2 linked regions of the Pelodiscus sinensis genome follow. The protein of the gene in region 1 purifies or fractionates together with the protein of each later gene. This does not show direct contact. Links are inferred from orthologs where the notes say so. Each region holds a gene or a part of one and is shown on either strand. Other genes may lie near its edges.

Region 1 (15,189 bases):
TTTCCGGAAAAGACTACTGTGCTGTCTACACTGGCCCTTTTCCGGAACAGTTTTCCAGAAAAAGGACTTTTGCCCGAGCAGGAACAGCATAGTTTTTCCGGAAAAGCAGCTGATTTCTTACAGTAAATCGTCACTGTTTTTCCGGTGCAGTCCCAGCCCCCCAGCCCCTCCCCTGCACACAGGAAGGCAGCATGGGAACAAAGTCCCCAGCGCACGACAGACCGGCATTTTAGGTACTGCACCAGCTGTTGGGGGGGGGGGAGCAGCCCGCACACTTCTGGGACCTGGTGCACAGCTGAAGAACTCCCCACCCCCAACCTCACAGGAAGCCTGTGTTAGCCCCGTAGTCCCTGGAGGTAGCATCAGTGCGTTGTTAATCTTGGGGATGGAGGGCAGCGAAGGGGGCCCAAAGCCTCACAATTGACTGGTTGGTGACCACGGTGTTAGATATTTGGCTATTACAATGGTGTTTTGCTTACTGTAATCAACTTAGCTGGTGTTGGGTCACAGATTATGTTAATACTAATTGCCATGTCTGTAATTATTGGAGAAATACAAATGAAGAAAGTGTGTGCTTAACCTGGCACAAAGGAGGGAAACATTCTCAGTTTAAAGAATGAGATTCTGGGCATGTGCATGTAAATACAGTTCATTAGTTTGCATAGGCCTGCTAGATATTCTACTACAATGGTTTTTTGCCCATTTGTGCCAGCGTGAATTCCACCCGCCTGAGCAGGAGGGAGTTAACTCAGCCCTGAGAGCCAAGGAAGCCACACCCACTGTATCTTACTGGGCATGCTTGGGCTACACTACTATAAAAGGGAGCAGCTCAGCTCATTTGGGGCTGGTAGCAGAGGAGCATGCTGAACTAGCTCCCTGCAAGCCCCAGCAACTACCTAAAGGTTGGAATACTGCCACCTAGGCTAGTGACCAGATGCCTGTAGAGACCACGCTGGATTTGGAAATAAGGGGAAGTAGCCAGAATGCAGAGAGCCGTGGTGAAATGGAGACTCACCAGTGAGCCAAGACCGGGGAAGCAGGAAGCAGCCCAGGAGCGGCAATAGCTACCAGTGAGCCACTGTCAGGGAGTCAGTGTGTTGCAGTTAGGATTTCCCTGTTGACTCAGTGGTGAGGGTATGCCACTAACAGGGCCCTGGGCTGGGGTCCAGTGGAGTAGGAGGGCCTGGACCCCCCCTGTAGTAGGAAGTAAACCTTTCCCCAGCTGCTCCCCCACAAATCGACTCTGACCATTGGGTCATGTGTTGACTATTGAACTATGCTGCCCTGCCTATAGGATTCCCATGAGGGGACTAGAGGGAAGGAGCAGACAGACTTTGGGGGTGGGAATAGAGGCACCAGCTGGGGAGAAAAAGGGTGGGGATAAGTGCGATAGGGGCGAGGTGATCCACCCCACCTGAACCATGTCATCCCCATAGCCGTGTGACACCATTGTAACCAATTTGACTGTTGTGGGGTCACAAACTGTGTTAACACTACATGCAGGAATTGTGAGGTATGATCACCAGTGCTTGCACGTATTGGGGGAATGCAGAAAAGTCAGACTGTGTTTAACTCAGCTCAGAGGAGAGAAACTGTCAGTGTAAAGAACCTTGGATGGACAAGGGCCTCCATGCCAAAGCTCTGTGAAGTTAACTGGGGAGGGCAGGATTCTGACTGCCCTCCAGGTACGAGCTGTAAGACCGGTTCAACCTGTTTCTCCTCCCTGTTCTAATGATAGAACTAGAACAATTTCTGTAAGGAGTCTCTCTTATTATTTTAAACTTACTCCAGTGGATGCTGGAATCTCTTGTGGCTGGATGGTGCTTTGAGCCAAGCGGAAATCCCTCAGAGCTGAAATCAATAGGTTTGGCCCAGAGCCAAATCCTCCACAAGCCTGCAGAAGATGCGATGAGAAGCTAGCACAGTGGCAGCAGCAGGATGAGCAGCCAGCAGAGTGGCAACAGAGGGATAATGAGCAGCAGCCGAGTGGCAGCAGCAAGGTGAGATGAATGCCAGCAGAGTGGTGCCAGACAGCAGCGAGCAGGTGGATGATGAGTGACCAGCGGAGTGAGTAAAATGCCTCCTACCTCCTCCCGCTCAGGATGGGAAGTGAATTCTGCAGCTGCACCTCTGAACTTTAGATCTGCCCTTGGTCAGGGCAGTGACTGTGAGTGGGGTGAAGAGAAGGTCTGGGCATGTGAAGGGGACATTTACATTGCTGGACTTGAGAGCCTGCGAGGAAAAGGCCATTGCCCAACCTACTTGAGCTGGGATGTTTACTCATGGCTTTGGTTATGAACTCTGTTTGGGGTGTTTTCCCAAAGTAATGCCACGTTACTTCCCTCCCCTTTTAATAAAAGTTTCTCTTTTACACTCAGACTCTGTGTTTGTGAGTGGGGAAGCATTGCCTCCCAGAGGTGCCCAGGGGTGTTGTGTGAATTTCCCAGATTACTGGGTGCGGGCTCGAACCAGTTTTGTGTTGGATGGATGAAGAGAAACCCCTAGATATTGAACCTGGCCCTGGCTGCTGCTGGCATAACCTAGCAGAATGGTTACACACATTTACACTGTGCTAGCACCTATTGTGTTTGACAAGCAAAAACCAGAATCTGCATAGGACATCAGGTTCATTTTTGAGATTTTACATGCAAAACTTCATGTCCTTGCTGGTGTTCTCACTGTAAGAGCCTTTAGTGTGTCTTTGTGTGAACTCTTTTGTACTCAAAATAGTAAGAGCAAGTAGTGATAGCCTGAACAGAAATATGTAGTCTGGGGGTAAGGCACTCAGCATGTCTACACTACATGGAGGATTGTTGATGCTGCAGTTGATCTTCTGGGGTTTGATTTAGCAGGTCAAACCCCTTCTAAACTGAACTCAGTGGGTGCCCCCATTGACGCCAGTACTCCTGCTCCTCATGAGGAATAAGGGATGCCGACAGAAGTTTTTGCTCCCATTGGCCTCCTGCTGTGCGCGGAAACATGATGTTAGATAACATGATGTAGCTGGAGAGGCATATCTTACTTTGACCTTCCAACGTAGTACAGGCAGTCCCCGGGTTACATACAAGATAGGGACTGTAGGTTTGTTCTTAAGTTGAATCTGTATGTAAGTCGGAACTGGCGTCCAGATTCAGCCGCTGCTGAAACTGACCAGCAGCGGCTGAATCAGGACCAGAGCAGCTGGGGTGCTGCTGGGTTGGACCAGTAGCGCCCAGAGTGGCGCTGCGGGACCAACCGGCAGCACCCCAGCTGCTCTGCCACAGGCGTCTGGAGAAAAGCCTAGTCTGCTGGGGGGGGGGCGTACTAGCTGCGCCCCCCCCACCCCAGCAGACCAGGAAGACACGGGCGGCGCCAAGCTGCGGGGGGGGGGGCTCGGGCAGCGAGGCAGCCCAGGCGCGCCTGGACTGCTCCGCTGCCGGCTTCCCTGCGGCTTTGCAAAGCCGCGAGGGGGAGGGCTGGGGGGGGGGCTGCCCTGGGCTGCCTTAGCCCCTCCGGGGCTTTGCTCTGTGTCTTCCTGGTCTGCAGACCAGGGAGACGCAGAGACAGCCCCAGAGTACACTGGCGGCAGGACCGCGAGGTCCCGCAGTCCGTGTACTCTGGGGCAGCCCCGTTCGTAACTGTGGATCCGACATAAGTCGGATCCGCGTACGTTGGGGACTGCCTGTACTTGCATCCTCATTGCAAGAGACACACAAGCCCACCACATGGTCTGAGCACCCACTCCAGAATCTGGCAAACTTGTTCAAGAATTGGGCTGTTTAGGCCACTGCTTTTAATCTGCCTCTCTGGTCACAGGTCACAGCATAGGTGATGATGTTAGTCCTGTCCCTGGACTGGACTGGTCAGGACCGTGAAGTCCTACTGCTGTCACAGTGGGTTGTGATAGACATGCAGCCATGTTAATCTGGTCTAGCTGAAACAAAAGACAGGACTATGCAGCACTTTAAAGACTAACAAGATGATTTATTAGGTGATGAGCTTTTGTGGGCCAGACCCACTTCCTCAGATCAATTTTATGGAAGAAAATTGGCACGACCATAAATACCAAAGTGATACAATAAAAAAAAAAGTGAACACATATAAAATTGACAAATCAGATTTTAGAACAGAGGGGAAATGCGAGGGGGGGAAAGTTAGTGTCTGTGAGGTGATGATATTAGGGGTGATAACAAGCAATTAGAAACACTATGCCAGAGGATACCACTGCCAATCTGTAACTTTGTTCTCACCCGCAATTATTTCCAATTTGGAGACAACTTATACCTCCAGATCAGCGGCACAGCCAAAAAAATCTTTTTACTTAGGCCCATTTACTAAATTCACTAAACTTTAGGACAAAGCAATAGACATTTAACTAAAAGGACTTAATTTAATGAAATATTAAATGTGTATTAACATATACCTTATATTGCTATATTATTGTTACATCATTAAACTACATTACTATATTACTAAACGTAAAATACAAATATAAAAAGAATAAAACTTTCAGTTCTAACAGTGGGGTGTTCTCCAGGGGCCCAAACTGGGACCAATCCTATTCAGGATATTCACAAATGATCTGAGAAAGGACTAAACAGTGAGATGGCAAAATTGGCAAATACAAAACTGCTCAATATAGTTAAGTCCAAAGCAGACTGTAAAGAGTTTCAAAAAGATCCCACAAAACTAGGTGACTGGGCAACAAAGTGGCAGATGAAATTCCATGTTGATAAATGCAAAGTAATGCATACTGGAAACCATAACCCCAATTATACATATAAAACAATAGGGATATGTTTTAGCTGTTACCTCTCAAGAGAGAGATCTTGGAGTCATTGAAGATAGTTTTCTGAAAATATCCACTCAATATGCAGCAGCAGTCAAAAAAGCTAACAATGTTGGAAATCATTAAGATATAGATGAAAGAGAAAATTTTGTATTGCCTCTATAAAGATCCATAGTGTGTCCACATCTGGAATACCATATGCAGATGTGTTCATTCCATCCTCCCAAAAATATACTGGACTTGGAAAATGTTCAGAAAAAAGCAACAAAAATGATTAGGGGTATGAACGGCTTCTGTATGAGGAGAGTAATAAGAATGGGACTTTTTAGCTTGGAAAAGATACTAAGGGGGATATGAGTCAGAGCTATAAAATCATGACAGGTATGGAGAAAATAGGTAAGGAAGTGTTATTTACTTATAACAAAAAAAAAAAAACCTAGGGCTTCACCAAATGAAATTAATAGGCAGCAAATTTAAAACAAAAGGAAGTATTTTAACCAGGGTGGATTTGATTTAAATCACATTTATTTAAATCACTAGTTAAGACTCAATTTAAACATGGTTTTCTACATAAAAGTGCAGTCTTGTTGGTTGTCATAACCTTAATTTTTTCACAACTCAGAGATAGATGTAGGTTTCATTTTTAGAAGGTAGACACTATACATTTTAAATAGTGATTTATTTTGAACACAAAATGAAATGAATGATTGGTTATTTCATTTATCAAAGGTAATGAAGCAGATAGTTATGAAGTCATTGAGAAATGAGCAATCTCCAATTCAACAGATTAATCATTAATATTTGGAGGATTTTCATGATGTATTACAGGTGGTACCTCTAAAAACTGGCATTCTCTGATCTGGAAACATCTGTAGTACAGCAGGACCAAGGATGCTCCTGAACTTAGGAGCCCGGGAACCTAAGGGCAGGAGGGACAGCCAGGCTGAGGAAAACAAGGTCAGCTGCAGGCAGTGCAGGACCCGTGCTGGACCCCCATAGCAGTGTGGAGCCAGGGCTGGACTTCCCTTGCAGCCTCTGCAACAGCACAGGCCTGGACTCTCCTGACAGTCCCCGGGAGTGTAGAGCCAGAGCCCCCACAGCAGCCCCCTGGAGTCTGGGTCTGGGACCAGAGCCCTGCAGCAACCCTGGAAATGTGGGGCCAAGATGGATCCCCATGGCAGCCTGCAGAAGCACGGGGCTGGGGCTGGAGTCCCTGGTGAAAAGGTGAAAGTGCATGCTGTTGCATGAGTATGTCATGAAAACATCTGTATTTTTTTTAAAGCTCAAAATAGCTGATAATGTAAGACATTGGATGCTGACTGCAATTCCAAGTGGTGATTGAACCTGGTGATATCCAGAATGTAAAAAGCCTGTTACCCATGGTTGTATCTGTTTCCATCTCTTCACAATTGACTTCATATTATTACTTTTGTATGGCAATCTTGGACTCTTATTTCATAGAATTAATATAAGCAAAATATGTACGTAACTACACTGTTTACATGCTATTTTAGGCACTTGACAACACTTAGTCTAAGGGCAATCAAGTTGTTCTGTTACCAGGATGAGTCTGTAAGAAATGACAAATCATTTTGCCAACTATTTTGTCTTCTCTCCTCCATTAGGGGGCAGTCTGGCTGATCATTCATGAGTCATTTGTACCCATGGTAACGTGTGACGATCCTTAACTCCAGTCTACTTCTAGCCCAGAAGCTTCTGGCTTGGCCTTGGCTCAGATCAAGCAGTGTCCATTTTTAGCACTTTTTTTTTTTTTTTTTTAAAGAAACTAGAACACACAGTACCGCAGTCGGTGCTCTCATGAGTTGCAACGCATGAAAGCTTATGACATAACAAAATTGTTAGTCTTTAAAGGTGCCATGGGGCTTTTTTTTCCCCTTTTCTGAAACAGACTAACAGGGCTACCCCTGAAACGTCTCTTCCTGCGCCCTTTCCTAGGCTGAGCTTTTTTTATTTTTTATTTTTTGGAGGGGCGGGGGAAAAGGGCAAAATATTTAGCTCCTCAAGTTTTTGCTACACGCAGCTGGCTGATCCTCTCCTGCTGCACGTTCCACGCCAGCTCTAACACCTCACGGTCTGCAGGGAGAGCAGTTTTTAACCAGGAATGTGCGCATTGGAGGCACCACTCCCTGCCCGCCCGTAGCCTTCAGACGGCTGGTGCTGCGGCGCTCGGGAAGGGGCGAGCCTGAGCTCATTTCTACGTGGCGAGTTGCACGCACGGGCGCGAGGCCGAGACCCTCCCGCTTCCCTGGCGCGAGCGCCTCGCCCCTCCCGCGCCATGAGGCACGCTACGCCACACCTCGCGGGTCTCCCCCCCTCCCCGGGTGGGTGGGGCCGGCGCGCGGCCTCCTTCGCCCGCCCCTCCCTGCCCCGCGGGCTCTGCCGTTGACTTCAACCGAGCAGCCTCTGACGCCAAGTGCGCCACAGCTTCAGTCTGGTCTCCGCGGGGGCGGGGCGGATTGTGAGTGGCGTCCCGCGTGACCAATGGGCGGGCCAAGCGCCTGACAGCTAGGCGGTGCGCGCCCACCGGGCAGGCGCGGGGCGGGCTGCCCGAGGTGGCTGGCCGGCGCGGCGGCTGAGGCGCAGCACTCGGCGGGAGGAAGCGGAGCGGCAGGATGCGGGTCTGGAGCTCTGTGCTGCTGCGGGAGCTGATGCGGCTCGGCCAGCCCGCGGGGGGCGGAGGCTCAGCGGTGAGGCGGCCGCTGGCCCCGTTCGCTGCGGCCGCCTGGGGCGCTGGCTCGCTCCCCTCCCCCTGCTGGGGGCCGCCGCCCGTCCGCAGCGTCTGCACCCGCTCGGAAGGGGCCCTGCAGGAGCCGGGCAAGGGGCCGCCCCTGTCCGCTAGGGCGCCGCCCGCCGACGGCGGCAACAACAACCACCTCAACGGCGGCCAGGAGCTGGCCGGAGCCGGGGGGGACAAGTGAGTCGGGGGGGGGGAGCGGCGGGAGGCTGAGGCGCTCGCCACGCGGGGAGATGCTGCTGGCGGCGGGCCGTGCCTGCGCTGTATGGATGGTCCCTCCCGCGGCGGCTGGGCGGGGACTCGCGTGTGGGGCGTTGGAGGGCTGCTCGCCGGGCCGGCGGAGGTGCTGGGGGCTCTGGGCCCCCGACCCTCCCCCGGGTCGCAAGCTCCCAGTAACCGCAAAGCCGCCACAGCAAGCCGGCGCGTCTGGGGCTGGAGTGGGCGAGGGGTCCCTCGCCGGGCAGGGCAGGCGTGTTGCTATCCTGAGGGGCAGGGTGAGCGCCGCGGAGGGTGGGAAATCCTAGACCCTGCCTTGTGCCTTCTCCTTCACTGTTCTGCTTCTCCCGTCGTAGAGAAAATACTTGACTGCTTTTACCCGCTTGGTGTATTGACTCGTTGTGGGTATCTCTCCCTCCCTCAAGGGGAAAAGCAGATACATGCTGCAGCTATGCCAAAGGAAATAGTGCCGTGTACGTCAATATTAAGTAAAAAAAAATCTCAAAATAGTGCTGGCACCGGCTTTGTATTCGGACTCTCTGATGTAAATGTATTCTAATATTAAAATAAGCTTTTAAAAATGCTTTCTATAATTAGGTATAGTGCATTTTATCTGCGAATTTCAGTAGGATTCAGCACATTATGAACATGCTATTTATGTGTCCTTCAATCAAATGGGAAACAAGGGGGAATACATTTCAGATAAGACAATATGTTCTGGTGCTTTTTTGTTGGAATGATATTTTGTTTGAACAAAAATACTATGTCTGTTATATTATTAAAGGTGAATTCAGTGCACTCTCTCCTGTATTGGCACTCCTGCAATGGTCTTCTCAATTACACTGCTACATCTTGTGATTTTTAGAAGTTAACCTCTAAGTCCCTGATCTCCAACCTATAATTAGTAGAGAGAGAATTAACGATGTTGTGCATTACACGTGTTTACACTAATTCCCATGGAATGTGCCTATGGGACTAACTGGGTGGATTGATCCTAATTTATGTATTGGTCTCAGGGTTGGGTGAGGGCGGGCAGGTGTTGAGGACAGACAGCAGTGAAAAGCTGATTTCATTAAGCTCATTTTAATATTTGAGGGCTTAAAATTCATCATTGGGCTAAATATTAGAAAAAGGTACAAAGCACATGAGAATTCTATTTATTAAGGTCAAGGGAGCAAAACCTTCATTTAAAAATTTGGGTTCCTCACAAATGCTCTGACTCCTGGTAAAGGAAAACATGCTAGAACATCTAGCTCAGTGGTTCCCAAACTTTTTGGCATCAGGCCCCTTATTGATTTTTGGGAAACCTTCCCCCTCCCCCAGCAAAAAACTTGAGCAAAAAAAAAAAGGAACTGACCTGGACCAAAAAACAAAAATAGCAAGGGGATGGGGGCGGAGGGGTTGGGTTGCCTTGCACTCCCCTCCCCCCGGAATTCCTTTACGCCCCCCAGTTTGGGAACCCATGATTCTAGCTGAAGAGCTTCATCTTTCATATCAATCTGTATGTATCCGTCTTGTAAATGTGACATTCTGTCTCTTCAGTCTCCTAGAAGAGAGAAAATATGCTGTCTAGCTCCCTGCTTTCCTCTTTTGCCCTTCAGAGCTTTGTGTCTGTTTCTCTCTCTCTCCCCAAGCTTTGGCTTGTTTGAGGGCAGGTCATCCCCACTATGGAGCTATGAAAGTTGTATTATTAAATTCCTATAATACCCATAATGTGTATGCATAGTATATTTTCTGCATATGTGAAGTTTGGATGTAGTTGTGGATGTAGTTTCATAAATGATCATAAATATAAATTAATAATGAAACTAATTTCCATTATGATTCTAAATGCACGTCATATCATTATTGAACTTTAATGTCAAGGTAATGTCATTTTAGTGAAAGAAACACATACTTGGATGGATACTAATGCAAAAAGGGCAGCATCCTCACTCCCCAATTTGAATTCCTAACCATTCTTGTCTGTAGATTAATTCCAAAGTAGTTATTCAGGCAAAGTCTGTAAAATAATATCTTGTATCAGTGCACTAAGATTTTAGTGCAAATTTTAAATAATGTCTAATCAGTTTATCACTCGAAAAAATACTACTTGATCACCCATGGGGCAAAATGTACATGCTACATTTTAAAAATAACTTTCATTGTTTTCTTTGACACATGGATGCACTTGATAGTCTGTAGTTATTTTGATTTTCAAGCTTTAGTGCCTAATGCACAGAGAGTAGTATCTTACAATTACCAAAACTCAAGACAAATGCACACTACTTTGTGAGTGTTACAGTACAAATGATAGCTGTACTCTATGACAAGAGTACAATTATAAAGAGAAGCACTTTTTCATGCAACACAGCTGGTGGCTCTTACTGGTGCATGCTAACTGAAGTGAATAGCTTAGTGGGGTTCCAACATGGATAATAAGAACCAACTTGGTATAGAGCCCTTTAAAAATAAACTACTGGCCACTGTAGACGGCAGGATACTGGAGTAAATGGACCACTGATTCAGTATAAAAATTTGTGTATCTGTCTTTACTGGTGCTCATGGTTTTGAAATGCTGCAGCATGACATTGACAAGAGTTAATGTTCCTTAGGGCAGGAGTAAAATCCCTAGTTATTCATTGTCACTTAGCTGCTCAAAAATTGTACAAAACTATGAGCAGCAGCTGTCACTGGAGTTGTCTGGAGACTCAAGAAAATAGTACTATATTTTACACTCAGCATGGTATAAAGGGTAATTTTTGCAACTGAAAATTTTACAAAGTTAACTTTTTATGTGAAAAATTATACGGAAATTCATAGATTGTTCAGCTGTTATGTAAGCTTTAGTGAATTTTCAAGCCCTGAATATTGTTCCTGTAATTAAGGATATGACTTTTATAGTTCTTCTTTTGACCTCCTGTCCCCAGATACCATCCCATTTTCCACCAGAAAATCATGTATGTTTTTTTGGGGGAGAACTTTTTTAAGCTCAGTTAACTAGAGAAGCAATCCTTGGTGGCTGATTTTAGAGCTAGCAGTTTTCAAAGTTTTAGGGCTCACTAAAATTTGCAACTTAAATTTATCTTGTATGTATCGATGTGTTTTAATCAAAAGGTGTTTTTTTTAAAAGCCTTAAATATAAATTTCCATGCTTAATAACGGTTTCCCTTTGCAGAGAAATCACAGAAATTACTATCAAATTAATGTTCTGGTATACAGGCAGTCCCTGGGTTACGTACAAGGTAGGGACTGTAGGTTTGTTCTTAAGTTGAATCTGTATGTAAGTCGGAACTGGCATCCAGATTCAGCCGCTGCTGAAACTGATCAGTTTCAACAGCGGCTGAATCTGGACACCAGTTCTGACTTACATACAGATTCAACTTAAGAACCCCAGGCGTCCCCAAGTCAGCTGCTGCTGAAACTGATCAGCAGCTGATTCCAGGAAGCCCGGGGCAGAGCAACTCTGCCTGGGGCTTCCTGTAGTCAGCCGCTGGTCAGTTTCAGCAGCGGCCAACTTGGGGACGCCTGGGGCAGAGCAGCTCGGGTGCTGCTGGGTTGGTCCAGTAGCGTGGCTGCTCCTCGGCGCTACTGGAGCAACCCAGCAGCACCCCAGCTGCTCTGCCCCAGGCGTCCTGATTCAGCCGCTGCTGAAACTGATCAGCAGCGGCTGAATCAGGACTCCTGGGGCAGAGCAGCTGGGGTGCTGCCAGGTTGGTCCAGTAGCGCCAAGGAGTGGTGCTGCGGGACCAACCGGCAGCGCCCCACCTGCTCTACCACAGGCCCCGGGCTTTGCTCCACGTCTCCCTGGTCTGCTGGGGGGGGGGGGGCACTAGCTGTGTCCCCCCCCTCCCCCAGCAGACCAGGGAGATGCAGAGCAAAGCGGCAGAGGACCCGGGCCAGATCAGCTGGAAGCGCCGCGGTTCTGGCCGGGTCCTCCGCGGCTTTGCTCAGCGTCTCCCTGGTCTTCTGGCTCCCCCAACAGACCAGGGAGACGGGGAGCAGCTTTTCTCGCCCCGGAGGAGGCAGGCGGCGGGACCAGGCGTCCCGGCCCTCCAGTCCTCCGGGGCGAGAAAAATCCCCGTTCGTAACTGCGGATCCGACATAAGTCGGATCCGCGTAACTCGGGGACTGCCTGTACTTTTTTTTTCCATTTGTCTATCTCTCCTGTTCACTTTGTTTCTATCATTCTGCAGTAAAGGACGTAGGTATTTCAGTGGATGAGAAGCTGGATATGAATCAGTGTGCCCTTGTAGCCAAGAAGGCTAATGGCATATTGGGGTGCATTAGTAGGAGCATTACCAGCAGATCTAGGGATGTGATTATTCCCCTTTATTCAGCACTGGTGAGGCCACATCTGAAGTCTTGTGTCCGATTTTGAGCACTCCATTACGGAAAGGATGTGAATGATTGGAGGAAGTCCAGTGGAGAGCAGCAAAAGTGATAGGGTATTGGAGCACATGACTTATGAGGAGAAGCTGAGGCATTTGGACTTACTTAGTCTACAGAAGAGAAAAGTGAGGGTAGATTTGATAGTAGTCTTCAACTACTGGAAGCGGGGGGGGGGGGGGGTTCCAAAGAGAATGGAGAGAGGCTGTTCTCAGTGGTGACAGATAAGAGAATGAGGAGCAATGGTCTCAAGTGGCAGTGTGGGAGGTCTAGGTTGACATTAGGAAAAACTATTTTACTAGGAGGGTGATGAAGCGCAGGAATGGGTTATCTAGGAAGCTGAGGGAGTTTAAGTCCTGGCTTGACAAAGCCCTGGCTGGTATGATTTAGTTGGGATTGGTCCTGCCTTTAGTAGGGGGTTGGTCTCTATCACCTTCACAGGTCTCTTCTAACTCCGATTCTATGACTCTGATTTACATTCAGTCTCTGACAGTTAATAATAGTGCACAAATGCTGCTGCTTCATGTGCCCTCCTTGTTGGGAAGTTGGAGCGGTCTTAGGCCTTCCCCTCCATCTCCCTCCTCTTCAGGGGCACCATATGGATCTAGAGCGCCCCCTATTCCTGGAGGAGAGAGGACTACAGTTCTCCACACCATCCCTGGATATACTGGTGAACTGCCTCCTAGAATAACAGGCAGCTTTAGTCAGCTAGAGCAGTGTTTCTCAACGAGTGGTACAAGTACCCCCCAGGAGTACTTGAGAAAAGTCTGGGGGGTACATCAACACAACTGAAATTTGGAGAAAACTGAATTTTTGTTTTAAGTTTTACAGCACTTTATTATACCCGGCTACAATTTAGTTGTTTAAACAGATGTGTTGCAGTGGTAGAATAAAAAACATGTGTCTGAAAACTGTAGGTGCTGGGGGTACTTATAATTTTTTTTTAAAAAAAGGGGGTACTTTATAAAAAAAAAAGGTTGACAAACACTGAGCCTAGCATATTTATTTGTTCTGTAACTCAAGTGGGAACTGTTGGTTGTGCAGTGCTGATGGTTTAGAACAAGTGTGTGTGTGTGTGTGTGTGTGAAACCAACCTAGGAAATGACATATTTAGCCTAAATAACTTATTTTTATTTTTTTAATCACTTGAAAGTTAGAAACGCCAAATTTATGGACTCCTGTTCAACCTTAATTCTTCCCTTTTATGCATATATGTGTTATGGTCGTCTGATTACTCAATAACATTATTGTTTTCCACAGGACTTGTCTCATTCAGATTATGGGATGGATGCACAAGGGGGCAAAATGAACAATAGAGTAGTTGACTTTGCAGTCTTAATAACTTTGCAATTGTATTAATGTACATCATATATAATTTTCAATCAAATATCTTTGTACTCCAGCCCCATTGGAAACTTGTTTTAGAAGAAAATTCTGTCATGTTAGAAAGATACATACCGGTAGTTTTTCTCTCTCCTTGTTAAGTCTTAATTTATTTTACTGTGATAGACTGGGTGATTTTTTTTTTATATAGAAATTCCTACTTATAAAATTATCAAAAAAAAAAAACCCACTTATGGAAGAAATGTAGATTTGAGGCAACTGCGCTATATATGAAGAAGTCAAAAGATTTTTTTTTTCTGTCTGATTTTTTTAGGTTCCAAGAATACACAGAAATTGTAATGGCTGTTCTAGTCATTCATACTACAGCATGTGCCAAAAGCAGCATTTCCAAGACTTCTCTACTTGACTCTATCTAACCTGCATGTGCAAGATACCACTTTTTGAATTCTATTTGCAGCATAATAGCACCTGAATTTTCTACTTCTTGTATTGTAGGGCAGTGGAAAGAAAATCTTATGTTGAGCTAAGACCACTGTGACCATGGTCATTGGAAAGATCACACTGAGAATGCTCAATCATGACAAATGGCAAAGAAAAGGGCAGATCTGCAAAATTAGTAGTTGGTTCTATAATTAGATTTTATCAAGCTAGTACTGTAACCAAACAGCTTGTTTAATACCTTACTAGTTACCAAGAAGCTAAAATACAGTTCTCCTTAAGCAATCCAGCCTTTGGTTCCTATTAAGGATGTGAAGAAGTGGGTAATTGTGTAGTTGATACAATTTGTATAGACTACATGATTAGTTGATGAGGGAAGGCACTCAGAAGGAGCTACCCCTGCTGCATCTCTGCTGTTTAAATGTAAGAGCTGGGACCCAGTCAGCCCAGCTCCTACTACATTTAAACTGCAGACTCACAGCAGAGTTAGCTCCTGGACCCGGCGTGAGCAAGGACTGAGCCAGGCTTGCTTATTCCCGGCTTGCACCGGGTCTAGCAGCCCCTGTCCATGAGAAGCAGCTTTGTTCTGCTCACAGCCAGAGCAGACTCTGTTCATAGTGTTTGGGGCTAGCCGCAGACGGGGGCTGCTTCTGGAGCAGCCTTTGTCTGCAGGGGGCTCCCAGGACAGAGTTGAGACCTCCCCCATGGACAGGGCGCCTTCGTAGCACCAGCCTCCTGTTGTCCCCCCTCTGTGTGTGTGGGGGGGGGGGGGAGGAAGAGCAAGTAGCACCATGGAGACAGTGCTGGGGGAACTGGTTTTTAAGTTGATTCCCCTCAGCGCTGGCGGCTCCAGCTTCCCCCTTCCCCTTCCGCTGCCTCTGATATTTAGGCAGCGAAGGGAGGGGAATATGAGTAGTCGATTCAACTACCTGATAAGCTTAGGCCTAAGCCTAGCCTACTTTTTTACATCCATAGTTACTATTAGGGATGAGAATGGGTATCTGTTGGGGGAAGAGGGGGTGTATCCCTAGCTCCCCCCAGTTCAATTGGCTAACCAATTAGCATAATGTTTAATCGATTGACTGACTAAATGGGATTTTACATCCTTAATTCCCATCCAGATAGCCAAGTCTACTAAGAACATGATAGTGTACATGTTTAAAGGGTTAACTGATGAGCCTGGGTTCATTGGCTAATATGCACAATTATAAGCAGACCCTCCCCCCCCTTGTGCTGCTGCCTCAGTATCAGAGTCAGCAGTGAGGGGGAAAGGCAGGAATGTACCAGTTCACATGGAGCC
Region 2 (15,584 bases), on another chromosome or scaffold:
TGGGGAAACAAAGCAGCTGTAATGGATCACAATTGCAAACCTTGCACTGTTGTTTACTGTTTATGATCAAGCTAAAACGGAACATTCTAAAATTTTAATTTGCATAGTCTATTTTAATAATGGAAATGATGGAGGGATATATATACAATGCTTGTGAGTTCTTGAGAGCTGTTCCACATGTAGATATTGTAGATGGCTGTACATTGTCCTGGATATTTGTAAAGGAACATGTGATGAAAATAAGTGAAATGAATGACCTGCTGTACCTGTTTTTCTTTATTACTTAGCCAAGGAAATGAATGAGATACCTGGGACCTTAATGAAAAGCTGCTGTTATGTCTTTGATTTTGTGTATATGAAGCTGACTGTAGTATTTTACTATTTACTGTAAAGAACTGTAATTTATATTCTATTTCTGTCATTCTGTATTTAATTGGTACAGATCTTTGTTTTAGAATACAGACTTTATTTCAGATTTTTAAAAAGATTATTTTGCTTGTATTTTACTTCAGGACTGTATTTAAGGATTCATTCTAAAAAATAGATTTAATAAGTTTGCTAGTTCACATTTTTGGTGCTCCAGTGGGATATATTGTATACACCTCTTTAGCATGTATATGTATCAAAAGAGACTATACCTTTTAGGAGGAGGAGAGTGGACAGTATTAAATACTGATCCAGTTGACTGGTTCATGTAATACAGTGGTCACCAACCAGTAGATTGGGATCTCCTGGTAGATCTTGGAGCTTCTGACAGGTGATCCTGACTGGTTTGGCTAGGAAGCTTTCAAGCACTGGCACTTCAGTTGCCCCTCCTCCCATCCACATTGTCACGCTGCTCCTGCCCTCTGCCTTGGAGCTGCTCCTTGGGAGCCTCCTGCTTGCTGTGCAGGGTGTGGGAGGGAGAAGGGGGGGGTGCTGATGTCAGGGTGCCCATCCTCCCCTCACTCCTGTACCCTATTTCCACGCAGAGAGGAGGGGATGGAAGGAGCTTGGCAATGCAAATATCTGTCGCTCACACTGTGTGTCTGTCATTTTCATAAACACATGCTGTCCTTCACTCTCATCTCCTGACCCAACACCCAATATCTGGGTGGTGGTTGTTACTAGTTTTACTACTTGCAAAGTGTGTTAGCTTTGGGTTTTTTACTTGTCTGTGCATTTCTCTCTTACACTTAAATTTAATTCTTTGAGTAGTGAGTTCTACAATGCCTAACCTGTTGTGGCTGGAGTGATTATCCCTGTGGTAATTGCTGCTTCTGGAAGTGGCTGGCATGTCCCTGCAGCCCCTGAGAAAAGCAGAGCAGAAGGTCTCCACATCGGGTCCTTGCCTGCAGACACCACTCCTGCAGCTCCCATTGATCAATAATGGGGAGCTGTGGCCAGCAGAAGCTGTGGGCTCAGTGCCTATAGCTGAAGGCCAGCACATGGTGCCGTGAAGCCATTGCTGTACGTGCCAGCTGCTTTCAGAAGTGGTGCAGGGCCAGAGCAGGAGTAAACCTGCCTTAACCCCACTGATCCACCACCCGGAAGCCATCTCAGTTAAACGGTGCCCAGCCAGAGCCTGAACTCCTGTCCAAGCTCTGAACCACCACCTACACCCAACCACCTGCCCCGGATGTGTCCCCCTCTGTACCCAAACTCCTTTCCAGAGCTTGCACTCTGAAACCCCTTATGGATCCCAGTCACCTGCCCTGGGCTATGCCCGGAGTCCCTCCCATACACCAAACTCCTGGCCCAAGACCAGAGCCTGCTCTTCAATCCTCCTACCCCAGCCTGGTGAAAGGGAGTGAGGATGGGGGAGAAAGGGGAATGGAGTGAGCAGGGTGAGGCCTCGGAGAAGGGGTGGAGCAGGGGCAGGGCTAAGTGGCAGGAAGGAAGCAGGACCAGGGTATTTGGGTTTGAAGTAGATCTTACATTGCACTTAAATTGAAAAAGTGATCTTGTGGTTAAAAAGGTTGGAGACCACTGATGTATTACGAAGTTTCAGTAATGACAGAATACAGTGTATCTGGCTATGCCCAAATGTGTATTAGTTGCTTTTTGGGAAACAATGTACCTAGAGCAACAGTCCACAGAATTGATGTTTACCTAGAACTGATCAAGTTGCATCAATGGAAGAAATTCTCATCAGGATTGTAACTGAAGAATTCCTTTGTGTAAAAGTATTTTATCAAGGATAATACATGGTGTTAAAACATATCCAAATATTTATCTCAAAATGGTGTTTTAAATCTAAATTGAGGCTATAAGTTAAAATGTTTTTAAAAGTTTTTCTAAAAAAGTTACTGTAGTTGCCCCAAACAATTATTATGGATTATTTAAAAACAAATGTGGACATCATTGTGTGGAAAAATACAATGTTATTTTGGTTTACGATGGTGTTTAATATACATATTTGTATTTATTCTAGGCATTCATGAATACAAAATATGCATTTACTTCAGTTATTTTGAGGATAGCTTTGCTTGAGTTAATATGCAGCCTGTAACAATATTTCACAAAAATAACAAACCAATCAGCCCTTTCTGAATACTATACATCCATTCAAGAACTATTTATATGTTGTGATCTCTGTACTTACTGCAACTCCTGTTATTCTGCAAATCCCATATGTTTCATAGACTCCAAGGCAAGAAGAGATCATTCTGATAATCTGGTCTTGACCACCTGTGTAACACAGGCCCTAGGACATGCCAAAATTCATTTTGAATGACAGTTTATCTTTTTTTTTAAATCCAATCTTGATTTATAAATTTCCAGTGATGGAGAACCCATCACACATGTGGAGGTTGTTCCGTCCTACCCTCACTGTTATGCTTTATTTCTAGTTTGAATTAGGGATGTAATTAACTAGTTAAGTATCTGATAAGCTTGCTTATCAGATAGTCAACTAGTTAATTACATCCCTATTACATCTGATAAGCAAGCTTGTCAGATAGCTGACACACTAGTCAACTAGTTGTTCCCCCCCCCCCCCCCCAGCCTCTCTCAGAGGAAGCAAGGTGTGGGGGAGAAGGGAGTGCTGGGGGGAGATGGCTTAAAAGCCAGTTCACTCCAGCTCGGGGGGGGGGGGGGCCTAGGGGCGCAACAGCAGCATTTCACCTTTGAAATGTACAAGCATCCCAAAACGGAAGTGCTGCATGGAGCTTGGGGCCAGCAGGGGACGGGCCCCTGCTGGCCCCAAGCTCCATATCTGCCATTTCAATCTTTGAAATGCACGAGAGCCTCTGCTTGTGCTCTTCCATGTGGCACTTCTGCCTGTAAAATTTAGCAATAGCTGGGCAGGCTCTTGCTACATTTCAAAGCAAAGTGCCCTTATCAACTAATCAAATAGTCAGTGGAAATTCCACTTTCGATTAGTTGATTAATCTGATTTTAACATCCCTAGTTTGAGTTATCTAGCTTCAACTTATAACTCTTGAATCTTGTTATAACCCCCATTACCATGTCCTTCACCAAAACAAGTTAAGTGGAGAGACATGTTCATGGGAAGTAAAATATGAAAAATGACTTTTATTAGATATTTGCTATTTCGTGTCTATCGACAAATTTTTACCTTTCCATGCCTCATTTTCCCCTTCTGTAAAGTTAGCATGAGATATAACTCATCTCTTGAGAGAGAAAATCTAGCTGGTGAACGCCGGAGATTTTAGAAGAAATTTTTTATTCGTGTATAAACTGCTAACATTTAACTATCCAAGATGTTTTACTCTGATCGTGTAACACAACTCCAAAGATATTTCCTAGCCATTCCTTTTATGTAGTACCACCGTCTTCTGCAGCACTTAATAAAGTACGCCAAACACAGAACAGAATTTTTGCCATAATGATCTCTTGCTTACATAAAAACCCCCACAAAGAATACCGTACAATATGGGATAGATGAAACTCAACCTTAATCAAGATCCATCTGGTATTTGAGTAGATCATAAAAGGCCTTCTATTGATTTAATCTGTGTATTTTTGTTCAAGCTGTACATCTTCTAAAGATTTCATAGGCTGCTATTTTATGGCTTTTTCAGTTTATAAATAGTAGCTTTGTTCAGGCAGATCTATGCAGTGGGAATCATAATAGCATAGGTTTGGCCCCTTAGCTATGCTACCATAAACCTGTAATGTGGACAAAGCCTATGGCAACAAAGGAGACATTTTGTCATTACAGGAACATCATGTCCCCAACACTAGCTAGGCCAATAGAAGCATTCTTCTGTCAACCTAGCTACTTGTTCACAAGGAGTAAGATCAAAATGGGTATGGCACATGGTTGTGGGTTTCACACCTGTGTAGTGTACTTGTGTCAGACTAAATTCTGTGTATGCCAGACTTTCATGTTATTTAGAGGTGAGTCATTCTAAATGTGTTGCTTCCCATAGTATCACCTATGTTTTATCTGACAAAGTACAAATACTCCTACAAATGTATGGTTGGAAAGGGGTAAAGAGATAATCTAGTTAATCTCACCCAAGCCTCTACATTGAGACAGGACATAGTATTTTTTCTGCAATATTACTGCCTTGCCAATTATTACTCATTTTGTATTTGTGTATTTCATCTTTCTTTTCTAAGCGTAGTTCTTTGCACTTATACTCAGTTAATTTGTCATAATTTAACAGTTCTGTTTCCTGTGTTTTAAATATACACCAATAGAAAACTTCATTTTTGTTAAGTAGGCTTAGCAGAATTTGATTTTTTTTATAACTTTGGATAATATTTTAGGGAGTTTTTCAGTTCTCAATTTAAATGTTTACTCTTGTGTAAAATTATGGGGGCAGGCTGTATCTGCTATACCCTGACTTTGCAGAATCTACACCTTAGTACCCCCCTCCTCTTCCTAAAATGAACACACACAGCTGTAAAGCGCAGGGGCTTGCAAGAGGGGGGTGATCTATCCAATCCCTCCCCCCCACCTACTTAATGTCTCTGCTCCAGCTCTACTAGCAGCTGTTACAATACTTTTGAATCCCACTTTATGGTTTATAAAGTTTGCAAGCAGTATTTTTCTTACTGTGCTTAACTTAAATTTTGATTAGTATTGATGGAATTATTTTTATTAATTTGTGTATGTGTACAATGAAATCAACATATACTGACAAAAACCTTAATCTTCCAAGCCTAGTTCCAAGGTTACTATCAAAGACAAAATATGAAATGTGTGGACATATGCAAATTGGTTTTTTTTTACAATTAAGATCCACCACCCACAAGGACCCCAATACGCAGATTTTTCATTCCACAACAGCTGAACAACTGTGGCAGTGCATGCATATAAAACTAGCACTTCTGAAACTTAAGCCAAGCAACTAATTTTACATTCTAAAAATATGTATCCTTGCTAGGGGATGTTGAAGACCAAGACTTTTAACAGGGTTCAAAAAAGAACTAGATAAATTCATGGAGGTTAGATTTATCAAAACTTACTGGCCAGGATAGATAGGAAGAGTGTCCCTAGCTTCTGTCAGAGGTTGGAAATGGGTGATAGGACAGGGATCACTTAGTGATTCCCTGTTTTGTTGACTCCGTCTGGGGCATCTGCTATTAGCCACTGTCGGAAGACAGAACCCTGGGACATTTGATCTGACCTAATATGGTTGTTCTTATGTATGCTTTCTTGGTGTGTGGTAAATGTTAGTGACATAAGATTGTAGGGGATGTTATAAGAGCTGTTCAGGCTCACTGCAGCTCTATAGGATCTGGTCTCTGAATTGAATAATGTGGGGAAATGACAAAAATGCCTCCTTTATGGCGTTTTCCTGACCTTTTCTGTGGCTTTTAAATTTTTTTTTACACCACTTTAGTAGCACCTATATTTTAGAAGTGTGACCCTGGAAATACACTGAACCGGTGTAGTTCAAACCGGAAATTTCCCAAAGTTCAAGGACGTTTGAACTGACAATGTTGGCTCAGGCCATTTTCTCCATTTATAACGTCTACCTCTGCCCTTCCTCGGCTGTTTTTCATGTCAGGTTACTTGAGAGAGCCACTTAGTGCAGTTGTGCTCTAAGGTTTTGGCCATTTAATGAAGCAGCATTTTGCTGGCTCCTTGAAAATCACTTCCCCAGTCGCTGCTTGGCTCGGCGCTTTAGGGTCGGGGTTTTCAGATGCGGGGGGCGCGGCCCCGAGCAGGGCCTCAGACCATCCCCGCTGCTGGCACAAGCGCGGCCCGCGCAGGGCGAGTCCCGGGGCACGAGGCGCGGCTGCTGAGGAGGCGCCGGCCCGAAGGGCGCAGCCGCGGGAGCCGCGGGAGGGCGGGGGCTGCGCTGGGCCGGGCCCGGCTCCTCCCCGCGGCGGCCCCAGGCGGGGCGGGACGTGCCGCGCTCCACGCAGCGGCCGCAGCTGGGCCCGGACAGCAGCCGCTGCCGAGGTGGGTACCGGCCCGGGCGGGGCGGGCCTGGGAGCCCCGGGGGCGCGAGGGGCCCTGCCCCGCACCAGCCGCCTCGGCAGGGGGAGCCCGCGGGACCCGCCTCTCGGGGCCCGGGTCTCTGCTGCCCGAGAGCCGCCTCCGTCCTGCGGCCTAGGCTGCCACCTGCTCGCGCTGGAAGGGGCCCGGCCCGGCTGACTGAGCTCAGAGACGGGGGGCAGGGGGGCTGTGATGCGCGGTGCCTGGCGGAGCGGTAAGGGTGGCACAGGGCGGGGGTGATGCCGACGCACATAAGGGTTTGCCTGCCCCTGGCATTGCTCGGATTGGATCCAGCCTGGCTTTTGTCAAGCCCCGCAAAAATTGCGGGAGGCCCAGCCCGAGCCTGTCTGAAAATCCGGGTGTGCACAGGGCCAGTTGTGTTTTCATACGGATGCAGGGCTGGAGATGTCGAATAGCTCAACAGTGCTGAGGGAGGGAGGACTGCATCTACTCAACCGGGGGTCTGACCCCGGAGGGGGTTGCAAGAAGGTTTCAGGGGGGCTGCCAAGCATGGTGAGCAGTAGATTCCCTTAGAAAGGGAAAGCCTTGCTATAAGGGACTGCACTCTGGCACCCTGAGCCCCACCATCCATGGCTGAAGCCAAAGCCTGAGCAACTCAGGCCAGATCTTCGCTCGAGTTGCTGGAGCTGGTTTACCTTAAGCCGAGCTTGGTGGCGTCCCCACAGCGGGAGGCCCATAGGAGCAAAGGCTCCCATCAGCTTCCCTTGTATCTCTCAAAAGGGGGTGTACAGGATGCTGGCGGGGGCTCCCTCACAGTTAGATTTAGCAAGACTTAACTAGACTCACAAATCAAACTCCAGAAGATAGATCACGACAGCAGTGACCACCTTTTAGTGTTAGACAAGGTCTTAGTTTTGTAGGGCACTAAGGATTTTCCATGCTAGCTAATAAAGTGAAACGTTTGTTATCCGGCACTCTGTTAACCAGGAAACTTTGTTAAGTTTGAGGACATTGCTCTCAGCCACAATACTGTCACGTCTTCAGGCGGACAGACCTGGCTTGGTTTACCATGATTGGCTTAACAATTTGTTATTTAAGTAGTACTAATCATCTTTAACTCAAAATAGAAACGTGAGATCAACTGCCTCACATTACAAAACTACCAATATTAAGTTTTACTATTATTGTCCATTGTTTTTTCCTAGGTTGATGGGGACCCCCAGATAATCAGAATTTTTAGATAACCAGAACGCCCTAATCCCCGAGTGTGCCGGATAACACAGGTTTTACTGTACTTAATTCTCTTCCTGGCTTTTATATGCCCCTTCTGTCCCCCAAAAAACCCCAACAAACAGTTGTGGTACAGGTGGGTTGTGATGTTTTTATTGACTGTTGGGAAGGGATTCAGAAAGAAAAAGGTTCAGATCCCCTGCCCTAGACCATAGCAGATGTTAGTAGCAGATGTTAGTACAACCTGTTCCTAGATACCAATGATGGGGATTCTACAGCCTTCCTGGAAGCCTATTCCAGATCTTTACTCTTGCAGTTAATAAATTTTTTCCTAATATCCAACCTGAACCTCCCTTACTGCAAACTAAGCCAATTATTTTTGTCCAACCATTGGTAGACATGGAGAACCACTTATAGCCGTCCTCTCTATAACAATACTTGAAGACTGTTGTGTTGTTCTCTCAGCTTTCTTTTCTAGATTAGACATGATAAGGTGCCAGGGTGTAGTAGGGATGAAAATTGCATTTAAAATGTTAACCAGTTAAACTATATATTTAACTTATTAAACGGCCCATCTTGTCATGCTGTGGGTGGGGCTGCGGGAGCAGCCCCTTCCCCCACCCCCTCCGCCCCCTACCTGTGGCGCTGTGGGCCTGGCCAGGCAATGCCTGTTGCATTTCACCATGGGCAGGGGACTACTCTGGCTGGATACCAGTTAACTGGTTACCCCAGTAAACATGCTGGTAAAGCAATGCTTTCTGGGTAACTGGTTAACTGATCATCCATTTATATCCCTAGGCAGGGTGTAGATCCTTAGTAACCTCAGCATCACCCTTGAATCCTTAAGGGAGTTGAGCATTCCATCCAACTTGTTGGATGTCCTCTATAGTCACATGTACCTGCTATGCAATATGTATCAGATGCCTGCTACCAAGAGGCATGCTGTGTGGTAAAACTAATTGCCATAAGCCATCTGACATGTTCATAGCCACCTGTGGCATCATCTTGTCTACCATTTGGACCTCTTCAGTGGTTTTTCTTAGCTCTTCTCTATGTTCCTGTTGAAATTTGGAAACCTAGGGAATTATTCTTTCCCATGCCAAAAAACTATATTTAGCAAAAAGGGCCTGTTAATTATACAAAGTTTGGAGAGAGGCAGATAAATAAGTCTTATGCCTGAAAATACCCTGCTCTTAGAGTCCTTATTTTTCAGCATACCTTGGTAGATCAGGTCTTTTCTTAAACCCTCAGAGACTCTGGGGCTGGATGAGTGTAAGTTTTTGATAAATATTTTTCTACTCCCTTTGAAGTAAGGGGAAGCAAACCTTAATGTGTTAGCTGGTTAAGATTATCCCAGTGGATTTGAAAAATAAATACCTATTATCCTAGTCTAGAGAGACTCCTAGCATATAACATGGGCAAGATATGTTGTGTTTAACCCACACTCCCCCTTGGGCTTAATATAACCAGCTATTAGTTCTAAATTGTGTCTATACCTCTACCCTAGGTGCAGCATTGCATTTAAATGGTTAGTGTTCACATTTTTCTAGTCTAGAAGATAGCAAGTAAAGGTTTTTCCTATGTGTATACCATATGACACTTTGAATAAGATTTCCCTTTGTTTCTTATTCTTCCCACAAACCATTTCCTCAATGAAATTCTAGTCTGTTGTCCTGCGAATTGTTGCATGAATGTAAACAACCAAAGATTAGGTCTGAGAACAGATTCTGTGTCTATCATTGCAGGAGTTGGGACGTAAATGTTTCTGTTTGACATACTGTTATTTATTTTTATACTTTGTTACTCTGTGAAACAAATCATTAAACACTCTCAGCTGCATAAATTCTTGTCTAAGCTGTAGGTGTATTTTCTATTTTGAATATAATTTTTAATGTATCTTTGAACAAATTAATGTTTTTACCCTGTTTGATAGAGAAAATTATTATGCTGTGATATCAGTAATTAAAGTGCATTTGATTATCTGCCTCAGTATAATCTTGCTACGTATGTTTTGTCATCAATACCAGATAGTTAAAATTGTTTAAAATATTTTAAATTACTCATTCAATATTATAATAAGAGAATCATGAGGTATTATAAGGTATTATGGTTTTGTGGGTGGCTTTTTCCTTCTGCAATTTCAAAACATAGGGGGAGGTGGTTCTTTTGATTGGAATGTAAGGACATCTGAGTCAGTGGAAAATATTGTAGATTTTAAATATCCAGGAAAATTCTATTTAAGGAAAAAATATGATGATTGTTATTAACGTAAAGGTGAAGGGTTTTTCATTACTTCCCTTCATTTTTATATAGATTATCTGTTTTCCTTTTAAAATACTTTAAATTCCATGTACCACTAAAGAGGAAATAGACTTATAAACACTTTCCAGTATGTTCATTCTTTGTAAATGTTACATAGTATAAGGAAAATTAGAAAATCAAGGTAGAAAGGATAGAGCAGCTGTACTGTGCTGAGATGTGATTGGATCTATCAGGCTAAATACCAGAATTGAAATCTGAATTCTGGGCTTTGCTGCATGGTCTTAGCCAGTTGGCCCACTAAGCACTTGGGCACCCTTATGCTTACTGTCTCACCTGCCTTGTTTTAAGGGAATACGATTCCCAGTGAAATGAGTGTAATAGATTACTCCACTTGTAAATTTTGCCCCGTCTACCATTTGAAAAGTGGGACTAAATCTCAGAATTAGTTAATGGTTGTATTGGAGTATTAAAAGCCCTATACTGTATAGGCTAAGCATTACTGTGTCTGTACAGCATCACATTTTTGTTTATTAAACCCAGAAGATCATACTGTATGTTTTCAATGCAAAGACTCAAGATTCACAGTGTAACATTTCAGTGGAAAGAATTAATTTATTTTATGGGGGGCAATATTAATTGGCTATTTTACCTTTAGTTCAAGTAAAAAAATGTATATATCTGGAAAATAACCTGGAAAAAATATGAGCATTTCAGTACTTTTTCTAGAAGAGTAGGCTTGGCTGGCTTTTACATTTTTTATGGTTTTTTGTAATATGTATTATTTGATTGTTCTGTAAGCTTGAAATACTGTGGATTTTGAACTTTACCCATAAGCAATACTTGGTCTGGATAAACAAAGTGGAGGATGTAATAGTAAAATTATTTTTTGTGACACAAAAGAGGGAGCATTTAAGGATATATTTGCTATATAGTCTTTGCCATATAAACGTGTTCATATCACTTTTCATTTGATGTCTCTTTTCAGATTAAGAACTATAAAGTGATCCTAATGAGTCTTTTCCAGTTTACCACTAGAAGGCTGGTTTCACAAGCATATTGTGGACTTAAGCCACCTTCTTCCAAGAAACAACGAATTTGCTTAGAAATGGCTCGTTTTAAATCAAGTAAGATACATTTGTTCCCATATTTGTTTCTGTACATTGTCCAGGCAAATATTTTGTAAATTTTCTCTTTGCTTTGAGTTTTCAGCCTCTTCAAGTTGAGCAGCATTGTTGTAGACACAAAGTACTGAGCAAAATAAATGTCCTAACCTAGAGAGAGTATATTGTACAAATGGGGGCTACGTCTACACTGGCCCCTTTTCCAGAAGGGGCATGTAAATTTCACGAGTCGTCGTAGGGAAATCCGCGGGGGATTTAAATATCCCCCGCGGCATTTAAATAAAAATGTCCGCCGCTTTTTTCCGGCTTTTAAAAAAGCCGGAAAAGAGCGTCTAGACTGGCCCCAATCCTCCGGAAAAAGTGCCCTTTTCCGGAGGCTCTTGTTCTTACAAGTAAGAATAAGAATAAGAAGTAAGAATAAGAGCCTCCGGAAAAGGGCACTTTTTCCGGAGGATCGGGGCCAGTCTAGACGCTCTTTTCCGGCTTTTTTAAAAGCCGGAAAAAAGCGGCGGACATTTTTATTTAAATGCCGCGGGGGATATTTAAATCCCCCGCGGATTTCCCTACGACGACTCGTGAAATTTACATGCCCCTTCCGGAAAAGGGGCCAGTGTAGACGTAGCCGGGGTGTATAATGGCTGCACATACTTCTTTTTAAAGATTGCAAGACTCAAATCACCAGTCACCTTTGCTGAATCATTTTTGGCTCTGAGATAGACGTATCAGTTCTCTGCCTCAGAGAACATTGGAAGCCTGACATCTGGTATCCTTAGAAGAGTTATGGGAAATTAATGTTTGCACATTCCTTGCGTTTCTGTATCTTTTTAACCCTAACGTTTGCAAACAGGTCAGATCAGTCGTCCTGTGGATGCAAGCTAGAAGTTTTTAAAAGTTTTGTGTTTGAGTGCAAAAATATCCAATGAAAAATATTATAAATTGTATGTGTTTTTACATTTTGAACTCAAATGACTGAAAAGTTTTTAAAAAAATCCTTCTAGGCTTAGACCTAGTATGAGAAATTTCAGCCTTCAAGGTAACCTGTCAAAGTGAAACGTGTCTCATAATGGGTGTTTGCAACGGAAATTTAGTCTCAACATGAATATGGCATCACTACAGCTGTAATAATGAAGAGGAGAATGATAATTGAATAAAGCTTCAATTTGAAAATTCACAGGCTTTAATAATCACAGTCTATATTTTGGTTTGAAAGTGAGCTTCTTGGAAAGACAAGTATTTAAGAGGGAAAGTGTGGCTGTGAAGCTGTTAGTTTTGGATTTTTTTTAAAATTGTTAAAAGTCACCTCTGCAATCATGCTGAATGATTGCCAAGTTCCTGGCATAGTTAGGGGTCAAAATGGCTATTCCCGTTAACATGTCTTATTTCAATATTTATAAAATAGGAAATATATTTGTATCACTGTTAGGGATGTAATAGTATAGTCAATTAACTGATTAATCGATAAGCAAAAGCTTATAGGTTAATGCTGTAGACTGCACACATTTCCCCCCACCCCTTGCCAGTAAATTTTTTAGCAGGCTGGCCAGCAGCCCAGCTCAGTCCTGGCTTGCACTGGCTCCTGGACCTACTCCCCTGCAGCTCTGCATTTAAAGTATATAAGAAGCCAGGCCAGCTTAGTTACGACTTGTGCCAGGTCCAGGAGTCCAGATCCATCCCACTCCAGACAGGGGCTGCCCAGGGACTATTCAATAGTCAACTAACCGATAAGAATTCATTATGTTAATTGACTGTTCAGTTAACTGATATTTAACATCCCTAGTCACTGTATATTTTTGTTTATATATTTAGATTTGTCTTGCATATTCATAGTGAAATTTACTTCCCAGCTTCTACACTACAAGGTTTCTGCAGGAGTTGAGTTAGTAAAACCACTCCCACCAACTCACAAGCAGGGTGCATTGGTAATGCTACAGCTGTTCAAATCCCCACGGGGTAATCTACATGAAAATATTATATTTAAAGATTTAACTTCGAAAGATCTTGCTTAATACACTGGACTGTAGTAGAAAAATACAATTAGTCAGGTATCCGCCTCCACAGTCTCCTAGAAGGTATATGGTCTGGTTTAAATTGTGTGAATTTGGGCAGATAACTTAACAGCTTTCAAATTACAGGGATGCCGTTGACATACAACTCAAATTTCATTCTGAAATATCTTGTTTGCTATAATTCAAAGCCATATCTAAACTCAGAGGCAAGTATAATACCACAAGCTATAATTACTGATTTTTACACTAACTAGATTTTCAGTTCATGTTTTTGTTTTAATTAGCATGAGGTTTGAAGAATTTTAAGGTGGTTGTATCACAGTTCGGGGGCAACTGTGGCTGTACAGATTGAACTTCTCTTAACCTAGACTCTCTGGTCTGGCAACATCCCTGGTCTGGCAGGACTGGATTTCCCAGGACCAGAGAGTCCTGGTGGAGGTCTGGTGGCTGGGAACCCGACAGCAGGGCTAGTGCCCAGTAGTGGGGGCTGCCCTGTGGCACCAAAGCCACGAGCCCAACAGTAGGATTGCCATCCAGTGCTGACATTGCAGCGGGGGGGCAGGAAGCAGCAGGACTGGAGCCCAGCAGCAAAATTGCCCAGTGAGACAGAGAGGTAGTGGGGCCGCCTGGCAGCACAACCAGGAGCTGAGCGGCCCTGGTACCACCAGACAATGCAGCAGGACTGGGAAGCAGCGTGGCTGCCCCGTGGGGCCGGGAGCCTGACCGCGGGGCTACCTGGGAGTGGGGCTGCCTGGTGGCACAGCAAAAAGCCTGGCAGCTCTGCTGCTGGCCAGCAGAGCTGCCTGCATAATTGGACCCCAGCAGGGGGGCTGCCCTGCGGGGATGGAGCTTGGCACTGGGGTTGTGCATGCTGTGGCGGGGTGCCAGGCACCCTGCGTGTGGAGGGGCTGGCAGCAGGGGGAAGCCAGCTGGGAGGCTGGCAGTGAGGCCATTGCTGGGGGTGCTTGTGACAGGGGTGGGCTCGGAAGTGACCTTCCTTCGTCCATCAAAATCCCTCATCCAGGATCAGTCAGTTCCCAAGGGTGCCGGACGAAGGAGTCCAACCTGTATTTCCCCTCAGTGTCCAGCAAGGACATTCACTCACAGGCTTTCATCTCCCCAGCTGTTGTCTTTCTGGATGAAGACTTGCATCTTTCTTCCTCCTGATCAGGCTCTACAGTTTCACTGTGTATTCACTGTGTTACTCCCAGCCCAGACAGGTTGTCCAAGAACACCTGCTTTCTCCTCCAAGATGGCTAACACTTCATAATTGTCACAATTATACCTATCACACGACACTTCCCATGCAAGACTACTTTATTCTTACAGTAAAAAACATTACAGATAAAACATAACTAATAAAAGAACCTATGTGCATTCTAATAAGCTAACTAGTCATCACCCCAACTCTAACAGCGGCTGTGCGAGGAGCAGTCCTTCAGTCACAGGACTTCCTTTGTGATCACAACTTTATCAGAGCCATAGTTCAGAGTTAGCACCTGTTCTTATGGAGCCTTAATAGGCTCAGTTTCTTTAACTGTATCCTAAGGATCAGGGTGCTGTGTGGACTAGGGCATTTTGATTCTCAACCTTTCCAGAGTACTGTACTTCTTTCAGGAGCCTGATTTGTCTTGCATACCCCGAAGTTTCACCTCACTTAAAAACTGCTTGCTTACAAAATAAGACATAAAAATATTAACTTGTTATAGCACACCATTACTAAAAAATTGCTGACTTTCTCATTTTATCTGTATGAAATTTTAGTTTGTATTGACTTTTCAGTGAAACAAGACAAATATCTAGATGAGTTGATGGACCCTCTGAAAGACCTCTATGTACCCTCAGAGGCATGTGAACTCCTAGTTAAGAACCACTGGACTAGAGGTCCAGTCTGTTTGTGGCACCAGGAAAAGGCCCTGAGCCTGTTGAAACCCAGTCTGCTTATCCAGTCATTTCATTGCCTGTTGGTCCTTGGAGAAACCAATTTGAAATAGTACATGCAGACCTCTCAAGAGAGGTGAGGGAGGGGTGACTTCAAAGCGGGGAGGATGTACATTAGCAGCACCCTCCTATTAGAGAAGATACATACAATGCCACAATAACATATACACAATTGCATTTTTAATCTAATGTAACCCAAGTGTATTAACCTTAACTAAAACTTTACTGAATTAAGTTAAACTTTGTTCTCTTAATTTCCTAAGCTTGGTTCAGAATATTGCCAGCCTGTCACATGTTGGTTGAAAGGGGTTTATATATAACTAGAAATTACAGCAATTTGGGATTATTATTGTAGGCCTGTTAATTCTATCATAGTAAGTTTTATTTAAGGCTTCATTCTTCCAAACTTTTAACATATGTACTTAATTTCATCCACATAAGTAGTTCCCTTCCATAAATGTTTACAGGATCCAGGGTTAAAAAATTTTCTTATTGATAATACATCTAATTTTGATCTACAGAACATAATAGAGATTCTAAAATTAAGTGTGGCAGTCTTGTTCAAGAGCAGCATTTGTGTTTGTATGCCTGTTGTGATATATCTGAATGATTTAAATTGTATTTAAAAATGAAAACTAGTGGATCAATTATTGTTAATTTTTC

Evidence for each region.
Region 2: the proteins of GLS (region 1) and SIRT5 purify together in Homo sapiens (affinity purification with western blotting; 3 studies listed by BioGRID and IntAct, with this or other methods). This does not show direct contact. The link is inferred for Pelodiscus sinensis from reciprocal best matches to the Homo sapiens genes GLS and SIRT5.

Annotation. Positions count from the first base shown.
Region 1 is NC_134717.1:66,949,405-66,964,593, forward strand, and holds the start of GLS (glutaminase kidney isoform, mitochondrial), read left to right. Parts: upstream 1-7,308; 5' UTR 7,309-7,401; coding exon 7,402-7,703; intron 7,704-8,164; coding exon 8,165-8,227; intron 8,228-15,189. UniProt on the Homo sapiens protein: Catalyzes the first reaction in the primary pathway for the renal catabolism of glutamine. Plays a role in maintaining acid-base homeostasis. Regulates the levels of the neurotransmitter glutamate, the main excitatory neurotransmitter in the brain.
Region 2 is NC_134712.1:105,931,197-105,946,780, forward strand, and holds the start of SIRT5 (NAD-dependent protein deacylase sirtuin-5, mitochondrial), read left to right. Parts: upstream 1-7,572; 5' UTR 7,573-7,679; coding exon 7,680-7,727; intron 7,728-10,838; coding exon 10,839-10,977; intron 10,978-15,584. UniProt on the Homo sapiens protein: NAD-dependent lysine demalonylase, desuccinylase and deglutarylase that specifically removes malonyl, succinyl and glutaryl groups on target proteins.